Nothobranchius furzeri: one gene and its partners. The protein of the gene in region 3 interacts with the protein of the main gene of each other region in a biochemical or structural test. Links are inferred from orthologs where the notes say so. Each region holds a gene or a part of one and is shown on either strand. Other genes may lie near its edges.

What was found.
Region 1: the proteins of lats1 (region 3) and serine protease HTRA2, mitochondrial form a complex in vitro, tested with the Homo sapiens proteins (2 studies listed by BioGRID, with this or other methods). The link is inferred for Nothobranchius furzeri from reciprocal best matches to the Homo sapiens genes LATS1 and HTRA2.
Region 2: of the proteins of lats1 (region 3) and mink1, one has a biochemical effect on the other in vitro, tested with the Homo sapiens proteins (2 studies listed by BioGRID). The link is inferred for Nothobranchius furzeri from reciprocal best matches to the Homo sapiens genes LATS1 and MINK1.

Annotation. Positions count from the first base shown.
Region 1 is NC_091758.1:31,041,834-31,045,946, forward strand, and holds the start of serine protease HTRA2, mitochondrial, read left to right. Parts: upstream 1-1,261; 5' UTR 1,262-1,455; coding exon 1,456-1,889; intron 1,890-2,755; coding exon 2,756-2,960; intron 2,961-3,421; exon of another isoform or gene 3,422-3,459; coding exon 3,460-3,654; intron 3,655-3,765; coding exon 3,766-3,798; intron 3,799-3,995; coding exon 3,996-4,104; intron 4,105-4,113. Other genes in the region: mis18bp1 (mis18-binding protein 1), read right to left, coding at 20-821.
Region 2 is NC_091750.1:48,005,343-48,008,992, forward strand, and holds part of mink1 (misshapen-like kinase 1), read right to left. Parts: intron 2,691-3,650; coding exon 2,667-2,690; intron 2,283-2,666; coding exon 2,131-2,282; intron 2,064-2,130; coding exon 1,949-2,063; intron 705-1,948; coding exon 588-704; intron 374-587; coding exon 262-373; intron 21-261; coding exon 1-20. UniProt on the Homo sapiens protein: Serine/threonine kinase which acts as a negative regulator of Ras-related Rap2-mediated signal transduction to control neuronal structure and AMPA receptor trafficking.
Region 3 is NC_091742.1:11,411,083-11,415,190, reverse strand, and holds the start of lats1 (serine/threonine-protein kinase LATS1), read left to right. Parts: upstream 1-1,257; 5' UTR 1,258-1,398; intron 1,399-2,393; exon of another isoform or gene 2,394-2,495; 5' UTR 2,496-2,606; coding exon 2,607-2,939; intron 2,940-3,349; coding exon 3,350-3,434; intron 3,435-3,942; coding exon 3,943-4,108. Other genes in the region: nucleoporin Nup43, read left to right, coding at 1-53, 346-575. UniProt on the Homo sapiens protein: Negative regulator of YAP1 in the Hippo signaling pathway that plays a pivotal role in organ size control and tumor suppression by restricting proliferation and promoting apoptosis.

The DNA of each region.
Region 1 (4,113 bases), on a different chromosome or scaffold from region 3:
AAAAACAGACACAACTCACGTTTGTTTACGACTGAGCTTGACTGGGGGGTCTTGGGTTGTTGGAGCATCTCTGACTGATCAGCAGGAAGTCCTCCAGCCAGTATGCTAGAGTTGTTGTGAGTGTGATCCTCTGTGGACAACGACCTTCTCATTCCTCTCGCATCTTCCACGCGCTCCTCGGTGGTTCTGATGACACAATTACACTCCTGTTGATCTAGTTTCTTCCTCAGCCTGTTCTTTATGGGGGTAAACATCCTCCCCTGAGACACAGGACTAAGAGGGGTTGCTCTCTTATCAGACACACTCCTTCCCGTGCTTTCTACTGACTGTCTCTTCACTGGACTCCTGCTGGACAAAACACGTGACTCCCAGATCTGAGGTGTCCTTTGGTGGATCTGATCTCTGGTGACCGAAGAGAAAGGCTGAGACACAGCTGTTGACTCCATTAAAGTCCCGTCTCTCAGCTTTCGTTTGTATCCACACAAATCAGTCATTGGAGATGTTTCCCGCAACGATGAGTACCCACATTTCTTCTGGGGACTCGAAATGGGCGAAAGAGTCAAAGCCTGCGCTTCGTTGTAATGAGAATCAACCGTTTTGTTTTCCTTGTGTTTGTCGACCGTGTTCGTAGATTTCCTCCAGGGAGAGAGAAAAGCTGCCCCATGTTTCTCTCTAACGCTTAACAGCGGATTGTTGCCTATAAAATCGTCCAGCTTCGCGTTCATCGCCTCCATCTGCACTTTAGATTTGAGCCTCGCAAACACCTTTGCGGGAGATTCGAAGTAGGAATGTGTGTGTTGTAATGAATTAAATGACGCCATAGTTTAACACATTAAACGGGACCTAATGTATCCGGTTTCCAGACTAGTAGCTAGCTCGCTAGCCTAGCGCGCTATTTTCGAATTTCTCTGCGCTGCTGTCTTTGGCTGGAATTCTCTGACGTACACCCAAAACAAAACGTCAGTACAGTTTTACGTCCGCTACGCACGCTTCTTCGCGTTCTTCTTCAAAAGACAAAACTTCGCAAGTCTCGATCTGTTAAAATGTGTAGCTAAAAATTAACAACTGAAAAAGTGGAGGTTAAAATGCCTATATCTATAAAAATAAGTCCTGTTTCGAGCCACTCTTCTCTGTACATGTAGAGACAAAGAGGGAATGTAGAGGGCGGTAAAACAAAAAGGCCAAAAAAAAACCATAGAAGAAGAAATAGGACGCGAAGAAGACAACCGCGCGTGCGCAGTTTAAATAACTTTCCCGAATAAGCTTGTTGTTAGACGCGAAGTTGAGAGAAGCAGTTTTGAAAGAGAGTATTTGTGTTAGATTTTTTAAATTCGATATAGTCTAAGTGGTTGTTTACACCAGTAAGGGATACACGCTTTATTTTACAGGTTTTGGGATATAAAGTGTTGTTTTCTGTGTGAAAACTAGCGAACCAGTGTGGCTGAGTGATGCAACATGGCAGCAAGTGCTGTCACTAGATGTTTTCTGTCAGCATTGAGGACACAGGCTCGGAGTCAGGCTGGAGTTCACCTTTCGGGACAGAGTCGGGTGCTTTCTACTGTGATGTGTAAAAACGGAGAGTCGCGGGGGAACACGAGCCTCGAGAGGAGAGCTCCAGCTCGGGACGAGGGACGAGGTCGGAGACTGAACCCTTCCATCTGGAAGTCTGTCGGTTTGGCGATATGCGGTGCGGTCCTCCTGGACAGGGATAAGGACGAACACGGAGACGCTAAAGTTCTCAAACCCGGGAGCTGTGTTGGACTCATTCTTGCCTCGGCTCAGTGCGCTTCTCCCTTTAAACCCGACAGCCCCAGATTCAGATACAACTTTATAGCGGATGTGGTGGAGAAGTCCGCTCCAGCTGTGGTCTACATAGAAATCCTGGGCAGGTGAGTTCTTCTGGGGGCTTGAAAACTTTTAAAAATGTTGAAATTGGAATTGGGTATCTTCAAAGTTTGGGAAGTGCTTTAATTTGTTTAAATAGGTACTTAAAAGGTGCATGAAACTAACTTATCAGACCAGGAAGTAAAATAACGGTAATCATGAGCATGTACATACATTGTTTATGCACGTGAAAGTAGCATCAGCTTTAAGATGCTGGAAAAGCTTGAAAACTTTCCTTGAAAGTGCTTGAAAAAAAGCTTTAATTTAAAAATTGAAACCCTTACTCAGATCTGGTGGCTCATGAAGAATATTCATTTAACTGGTTTAACATTTAGATTAGCAGGAGTAATCTCAGTGAGATTCAGAATCTCCTTTACAATAGAGTCTTGGCCAAGACAGCAGCTTAATTGGTTTCAAAATAAAAGAAATCTAATAAAAAAGAAGAGAAAACTAAAGCCAATACATTGGCATGATCACCAGCAGTGTCCATTAGCAACACATGTCCATTTAGTCATGGGAAAAATCCTTAATCCTAGATTTGAACTGTGCCATTATTGGTAAAATAATCTAAATTGAAGTGACTGTGCTACTTAAACCAGGATGGGGGTGTAAAAACCTTTAAAGCATTTATTTTGTAGAAGAACAAGTCAGATTTCTAACAGTGCTAATAGTAGATACATATTATCTGTTTAAACGTGACATTGTGATGAGAAACTGAAATGTGGTATTTAATCTAATTGAAAGTTGTTTATTTCTAATGTTTGGTGATTTTTACTCTCTTTTATTTTCAATTATTATAAATATGACCCAAAAAAATTATGAAAATAAACATGTTTTTAACTTCAGGCTAAATCTTGCGTTTGTTTCACAGACACCCGTTTTCAGGAAGAGAAGTTCCTGTTTCGAATGGTTCCGGTTTCATCGTCAGCAGCGACGGCCTCATCGTCACTAACGCTCATGTTGTGGCCAATAAGAGAGCGGTCCGTGTGAAGCTCCCAAATGGAGACTCTTATAACGCTACTGTGCAGGATGTGGACCCTGAGGCAGACATAGCTACCATTAGAATCACTCCAAAGGTGAACAAACACTTAGAATATAACAGGGGGAAGCAGTCTAGATCTGCTGCAGACTCTGGATGAAGATTTATTCACATTAATGGAGCCAGATGGAGATTATTATTTATTTTTGGACAGTTAGGCTGTTTAAAATGATGCTTAAAATTTAGCAGAAGTGTGGCGCACACCCCCTTCTGTCATTTTCTATTTTAATGAGTCATTTCTTAATATTTTTGTGATTATTTGAGTTTTGCTTAATATTTTCTGTCAGTATTTAAGTTGTTTCTGCTAATTAGTTATTGAGAAAATACAGATTTGCTGAATTTTACATAATCGAATAATAAAAGTATCATAATAAAAGACTGTGATCCAAATATTATGAAAGACAAGGATTATGAAAGGTGTTGTCACCATTTACCGAGCAGGCACCAGTGATCTGGTTGAAGAACTCAAGAATTACCTCATTTATTTTTGTGTAATAGCTCCTGAAAGTCCTCGTTTCCCCCCTCCTGATGTGCAGAGTCCGTTACCCACGCTCACACTCGGTCAGTCATCGGACGTTCGACAAGGAGAGTTCGTGGTTGCCATGGGAAGTCCGTTCTCGCTGAGAAACACGATCACATCCGGGATCGTCAGCTCAGCTCAGAGGGGCAGCAAAGAGCTCGGCCTTTCCAACTCCAACATGGAGTATATCCAGACCGACGCCACAATCGACGCGAGTACTTTTTCTTCATTTTACATAGTTTAACCCTTTTTAGGACCAATATTCCTGAATGTAGATTTCCCATGACTCAAGTATTTTTATTATTACTTGTTTTCTTTGCAGTTTGGAAATTCTGGAGGTCCTTTGATTAATCTGGTGAGTTGAGGTTCCTGCTCAGTTGAGCTGTAACACTTCTACCTGGTTTGGATTATTGTGAAATGACTAAAACAGAGTTAACTCTTCTGTTTCATTTCCTGAAGTGAACTAATACAATTAGAATGAGCTACGACCACCAGATGAACACATCCGTGCACCATCTTTAGATTTCACTAATACTCCTTTTTTTAAATCAGGATGGAGAGGTGATTGGGATCAACACCATGAAGGTGACTGCAGGGATCTCATTTGCTATCCCGTCTGATCATGTGAAGGTTTTTCTTGAAAAAGCAGCAAAAAGAAAAAGTAAGAAAA
Region 2 (3,650 bases), on a different chromosome or scaffold from region 3:
CAGCTGCTCAAACCTAGAGCCTAGACACAGATGTTACAGATAGGAGGACAATTAGCCAAACTTGTCCAAAATGTCAAAACATAGTTTGATTTGTTTTTAAATGTAGTTTAATGTGCATCAACAACTTCATCCAAAACGCCACAATAGCATCAAAACAATCATGTTGTTTTCTTTATGTTTGACTGCAAAAGACAAATAAACAAGAAGACGAAAGTTCTCTAATAATCAACTCTAAGCACATTTAAAAATGTTCCGACTCACTGCTGATTGACATGTTATCTCCTGTTCCTCCCGGAGACTGGTACATGCCTAGATCTACAAAAGTAGTGAAGGAAGACTTGCCAGATGCCTTCACCAAACCTCTGGACTGATACTGGTGAAACAGAAAGGGTGGGTGAGATAAACAAGTCTACATAAACTCTGTGGAAACTTTCACCTTTTCACATCAGAGAATCATAACAACATGTGCTACTGATGCCAGTATCATACTGAAATGATGGCGTCTAGCAGAAATGATGGCATACATAGAAGAAATAAAAATAAACCCTAAAACCAGGGCTGACAAACTTAGCATCAGGACAACTTACATCATAAACAGAGTCTTTCCCAGGAGAGGAGTGAGTGGCTGATTCAGTGGGAGAGTGGGAAGGCTGCACCACATCTGGCAAGTTAGTGTATCCATTATGGCTCCTCTTCTCCGGGGTCTTTCAGGTCAAATAGACAGATACTTGTATTATGTGACGACAGTAAAGAAGCAGTAATCCCTTTAAACGTAGCTTGTGCCTTTTCTATAACAGGTCAGCTGCTTTATCGTCTCTGCAGGCTGGAAACATGAATGAGTTGAAGTCTTTACTGAGTGACTTCTAGCTGTCAACTCAATCAAATGTCAGTAAGTTCTTCAGACATCCTTGTTTTTATTTTGTGAAAACTGAAGAAAAGCGAGTCGACAAACTAACTTTTCCAAATTGCCGTAATTTTAATAAAACAAATTTTCCAGAGGGCATGAAGTCCTGTGAGGATGATGGCTGACCAATCCAGATGGTGACATAAATATAGGACAGCTACTGCTCCTGTGCTGCAGCTGAGCCTCAGAGCTGTCAGAGACGGCTGTGAAGACCTACTACTGTTAGCATGAACCTGCAGTGTGTGTCATTGTATCAATTAGGATACCAAAACTGTAATTTCACTATTTAAACCTCCCCCCCCCCCCCCCCCCCACACACACACACACACACACACACACACACACAAAACCCCTCAGTCAAGGAGACACTGTTCCTATTCAACTCATTAGGAGCCATCCAGAAATGCATGCTGTCATGGTCGTCTCCCCAAATATCTCAGAGATGCTTTATCTGACAAACTAACAGCATTTAGCTGGAGGGGAGCTTCAGGCAACTTTCATTAAAAACCTTTACAAATATTTAAGGGTCTAATAATAAGAAACCAGCAGATCACAGAATGAAGTGAATAATTTAAACAGTTGCATTGTGTCAACATTTAAATATATTGTTTATTCCTGTTTGATCTTTTATATAAACTAAATAACTGAATAAAAACAAATCCACAAAATAAAGTAAGGGACCTTTTTGTTTTAGTGTTGTTCTAAATTCTGTGTATTTCTGCACAAGTAAGGCCTGACGACTTTATGGAGGCAGATTAATGAGGCTTTAGAAATAAAAAGCGTTTATGCCCTTTATTAATTCTGTTAAACTGGAATCAAAAAAAGAGTTGCTATAAAAATGATTTTAAATCATTTTTGGAATTAGATCTGTTTGTTGAGAAGTTTGCAAAAACAGTAAAAATGATGTTATACTTCCTAAATAAATGTCTAACATGATGAGTTGAATGAATTCATCTCCCTGCTCTACAATATTTGCCACCATGCAGATTCCTCTGCAGAAATCAAAAAGCATCTTAAACATGATCTGAAGTTGGCGTGACTCACCCGCTGCACCAGCATGGTCTGGTCCCCATAAACTCCTGCTTGCTCCCCCTCTGCCTCGCCTTCGTCTTCATGAACCACCATGGTGTTGACCGAATCGGTGTCTGCATCCCTGTGACTGAACATTTAGGCCTACTCAGTTTTCCGTTACCTCATTTGTAAAAGTTTATTTGTGCAAGCATTACCGATCCGTTGGGCTTTCCTCCTCCTCTGCTGCCTCGCCACTCTCACTTTCTTCGCTACTTTCGTTGCTCTCTGAAGAGGAGGAGTAATCATTGGCCTTGACAGGAGGCCTCGGTGGCTCCTCGGCACGCTCCTTGGCATAGAGGCCATGATCCTGCACCCGCATACAGCTTTGTTTACTTTGAGAATGCATTCAAAACATTCTAAACAATTAAAGATGTAAAGAATGAGCACAACATTAACAAATGCATAATTACTATTTAGATTATCAAAAACATGAGTGAGGTCCCATCCAGAGAAAGTACTCAACTGGGAATCAAATGGTTTACAATTCAGGGCATCCTTATATTGGGAAAAATAACTAAAATAGTCAAATGGCACAAATTATAAACAGAATATTATTTAATTCAAAAGAAAAACAACGCCTCAAATGAATGAAGGCTTTACAGCATGCATGTGATTCTCCATAAACACGTAGAAGTCCAGGAACACCAATACAAATCCATGCAGGATCACACAAGACGACAGAGATACTAACCTCCCCTATTGCTCTCTTGTAACTCTGCACATTTGAGGTAAAGTCAAAAAACAAAACATGAGGAGTGATGTCATGGAGTCTGAAGTGTAAACAGAAAGTCCTTTTCTGCCTGGCAGCATGTAACTACTGATAACAGACATGAATAATAGATTCACTTATCAATTGCCTTACTGCGTGCAGTGATGTGTACGTCTATAGGAAAATAAACATTTATTCTACATAAGTTTACTTCCTCTGCCACTGCCTTTGTGATGATCAGTGCGAGTTAAACCCCAACTTTGTTTTTCTGCTCGTTAAAGGCAGAGTTTACTCATTTTTGTCAACCCATCTGCAGTGGTCTCTATATGAATGAGTGTGATCTCTGTGGGGTAAAAAAAGCTCTGGTGCTCCTGTTTCAGGAACTAGACGTTAGCCAGATGAGAGGTGAGCAGAAGATGGCAGAATTTGGTCTCATTTCCTGATATTCAGACATCTGGCCTCTGATTGGCTAACAGCAATGTGACTCTACCACTGACTGCTTGCTCTGCAACTTTGATGTTTTATCTCCACAAATAACTCAAGCCTGAAGGAGTTCTGCTGCGTGGTGGAGTTGCTAATGCTAACGGTAAGTTTCTACTAGTTGAGATGGGCTCTAGTCTTTCCTGGACACTAAACCAACCAACCAACCAACCAACCACAGCCTTCCCCGTTACAAGCCAACATGGGTGAGTCCATGAATGCACATTTTATATGTGATGTGGAATTGGCTGGCTGGCTTTTCTAATTCAATCTTTTACTTGTTTATTTACTAATTGACGAGTAAATGCAGAAAATAGAGGTAGAAGACTATTTTCACGTTCATCCTGCATGTGGCCAATCATAGCTCAAAGTTAACGATTAAAAAAATAGTTTCTCAGCAACCTTGGTCTTTAAGCACAAGAGGAACGTGATGCAGAAAGGGCTGTAATTAAAGAATCCCTGCTGTTAAATATATATTCATTACTG
Region 3 (4,108 bases):
GCTGCTGCACTGGGAGACGTCCTCCCACTCAGACATGCCCTCCTTTCTACAAGGCAAGTCCTATTCATCATAATAATCATTATTATTATTATTATTGGTATTCAGTTTAAAAGGCTGCCTATGTACTTCTTCTATTTTCTTAATTATAAAGATTCTATGGAAACACAAAAGCCATAATCAAGAAAATATCCAGTTGAATGTTTTACTGAAAGTTTACATTATTTAGGGTTAAATAAACAAAGAATTTCCTGATAATGTCCAACACCAGGTCAGTCTATTAAACATTGTCATGTTGTACTATTTGTCGTAATTTCACTGTAAAAAGTGTTATTGTTGTGTTTCCAGGTAGCAGAAACAGCAGCGTGACCTCTCGCAGTGCGATGGCCCTTGCTGGAGGAAACCAGTCCCTCATCAGTGCCTGGCTCAACGGAGACTCCAGTAAAAGCCGCCTGGAGACGACCCACATGCTGCCCAGCCAGACGCTGTCTGTCAACAGCTTGGATGTGCTTGGACAGTGCTTAGTTTGTGGAACTGATGGAGAGGCTATTTTTATCAACAAACAGGTCCCAGTTTAAAAGATCTGGAGGTGACTAATAAATACATGAATGCAAATTTTAATTTGATGTTTTGTGACACATTGGAAGACTTTTTTTTTGTTACACAAAAAGCCAATATACCTACGCAATGAAAGACCTCTGTGTCTGATGCAATGCTTCATTCTTTGCAGTGACAGAATATGGATTAGTGTTTTTGTATGTCATTCTGTACACAATTGTTCAGATTAATAATGTTTTGTACAGATTACTTAAAAAACAATAAAGAAATAAAATGTAACTTTCTCAAATTGTCTCAGGATGTTACGTTTTTTTATACTGACAAATCAAGTAAAATTGTAAATCAAACCTACCAACATAAAAATGTCAAAGTCAGCCTTGTGAGCTCTTATGTTGCTCTGTAAATTTACAAATAGATGTTATGTGCTCACCCAAAGGGAAATTGATTTATTTTTATACATATTAATGCTCTTATTTTTTTATTTCTAAGATTTGTGCTGTGAAATGTGTTTGGACTTCATTAACAGGTTAGCAAAAAAAAACTTATAAAAAAAAGCATTAAAATTTTCTTCATTAGTTTTATTAGTGTTATTTTGTTCTAAACTTAGCAAAAAAGTAATTTCTCCACTGACTTTTATTGTGAAAGTCCAGCGTCTGATGGTGCGTCGTTAGCTTAGCTGTTGTACTTGTCATTCAGATATCCCAGGAATTCAACAAGACTAGGAACCAGTCGGCGCGGAACAACAAGGGCATTTTAACTTCAAATCGCGTCCTCGACGCCGAGGAGGGTCAGCAAACCACTACTGTCCGTTAATAATAGGAAAAGCGACAGCGGCGGACTTTGGTGAGTTGTTGTTATCGGAGCTAGCAGGCTAATGCGCAACCTGTTGTTGAATAGCATCAAATGGATTCCTATTACACACAGGCCGCTTGAAAACTGCTGTGTTGTTTGATTTTAATCCTTTTTAAAACTCTTAAACTCAGTATTCGCCCACTCTTTTGACTATCCTTATAAACGTTTAATTGTGACAAAAATCCGTACCCAACGCCGGAGAATTTACGTAAAATTAGCGTTATGTTAGCATAGAGTGCTAAGGAGGCTATACACACGGAATGGGGTCTTTTAATGAAGTCAGTTCCAATCGAGACATTTTTTACCTTAAAATTTACGTACGCCGAATTTCACTCAAAAGTAAACGATAAACAATCATAACTATTTTTTTATCAACACATGACTTCCAAGCGTGACAGAAACAGGTTATTTATTTACAAAAGGATTGAGAGGCATGAAAAAGTATCTTATATGTTTTGAGTATTTCCAGATCATTAATTATTGAGAACAAAATATAGAAAACGTGTGTGTTCCTAGACTTTATTTTCTGGAAGGTTTTAATTTGATTAAAAACGAATTGTATTGTAAAACTTTTCTAAATGATCACTTTCCACATGTTTCCCTCACTGTTTTCAACTTATCACAAGTTCACCCAAACATTTTCAGAGCTCTATGTTGATCTAAGTGGAAATAGCTTTAAATATACACCTGATCTTTAATCAAATTAGACTTTTTCATTAGGAATACAAGCTTATTAAAAACAGATAACTAGTTTTATTTAGGGGAAATTCCCAGAAATCCTTGTTGTTGTTTTGCACAGTCAGTGGTGATTTTTATTTATAGTATACAGACCTTGTTACTGTAAATTTACAGTAAATGTTCATATCTTTACATTTTAAAAATGGCAGAAATATCTTAACATTTGAGCTCAAGAATGAAAGTAGATCTGAAATGTAAAATATGTAGGAACGTTCTGGTAAAGAAATAAGTTGGGCTCTGTTAATTACTTCTCTCAATCTCATTTTGCTGAACCTGTTTGGTAACATTATGTGTACTCTGGTTGCTTGTTTATCTCACTTTCAACTGGCATCAAATATTTTCCGCTGCAGCACATAGATGTGAGGTCAGACATCGGGAAAACGTCCGCTATTGTCGCCACCCTGGATTGGTGATATCCTCTCCATCCCTTTTATCATCGTCATCATCATACATGCTCGTACATGAGGAGGGGGGAGAAACCCGAAGGATACAGACAGATGAGGCCCAAAATATTACCGGTCGGCAACTGCAGCGGCAACAGCCAGCAAATGCTGATGGAAATCCGAAAAAGTCTGCGCGACATGTCCAAACCTTCTGATTCTTCTAAAGTGGACAACGGCGGACACGGAAAGATGGCTCCTGAAGATCCAAGGCGCTCCAGCAATCCCAAGCACCATAAGGCATTACAGGAGATTCGCAAGTCCCTGGTGCCCTACGAGGTGAATGGTTCATCAAGCACTTCAGACATTAACAAACCGATGTGTCTGGAGCAACCATGCGCCGGGTTTGAGGAGGTAAGCGGAGTTATTAAGAGTTTATCCCTTTTGCCCTCATAAACACATTCTTAATGAGGAATTGTGACAGGTTCTCATTCTGTTCGTGCCTTTGTAATAGAAGATAATCACCTGCTGCACTGTGTTTAGAGGGCAGTTATTTGGGAAATGCTAGGTATGCAATGTGAAATAACAAGCGTCTGGTTTGCGTGAGTACATGATGAAAAGTATCATGGTAGGCAGCGCAGGTGCGCGGGTTCAACCGTGTTCAGAGGGTGAAAAGCAACAGTCTTGGGAAAATTAGATTGTTTTATTCTTTTAAATTATAAACATCTTTTGTTAATTTTCTAATCATTTTTATTGTAGATTAGAAATTATAAGTCATTGCATGAAGAAGGAATTTCTTAATGGATCTACTTTGGCCTCCGTAGCGTCGCGGTGCGACCAACTACCAGGACCAGATGAGGGAGCCGGTCATGGCTGCTAACACCAGCTCTTCAGGCCTGAAAGCTCCAGGTAACAGTCCTCTGGGATCCGTGTTAGTTTTCCTTCTTTCTTCTACATGACCTTTGGACTCAGCCCTCATATTGTTTGCAGGGATCAGGATGGTGACAGTACCTGCTTCCAAACATGAGTCACTGTACAGCTTCATAACAGAACAGAACGGAGGGTTTTGGTGCTTATTCATGCTCTCGCTGGTATTATATACGTAGAGGGAACACAGATGCATCTGTAGTATCGGTTGTAATTTCCACTGTTATGTGATACTGATAATATAAGTAATTGTGTAAAAAGATTCTTAGTCGCTCGGAAGTGCCTACACGACACTTATGACAGCTTCTTTACATGGCCAGGCCGCGAGGGGCGTCATGAGCATCTCTTCTGAGACGATTTGTAGAAAACTTTTTTTTCTATATTTTTATGTATTTTCCTTTTGCCGCCTACAGTCACAGCCCAGTGAAATCCTAGTTTAAGTTGTCTTTGTTCTTCACTTAAATCTGACAAGATCTTTACTGTCGTGTAGGATCTTCTCACATGCAGCAGGTGGTGCTCAGGAGGCCTAGCTGGAAGGGCTCTAAGGAGGCCCTCGCTCCCCGCCTCGGTCCTCACATGGCAGATGGGATGGTGTACCGCCCCGACAGCCCCGGGCCACCTCCTGTCTACCCACCACTCCGCGGTGTCGCGGCTTC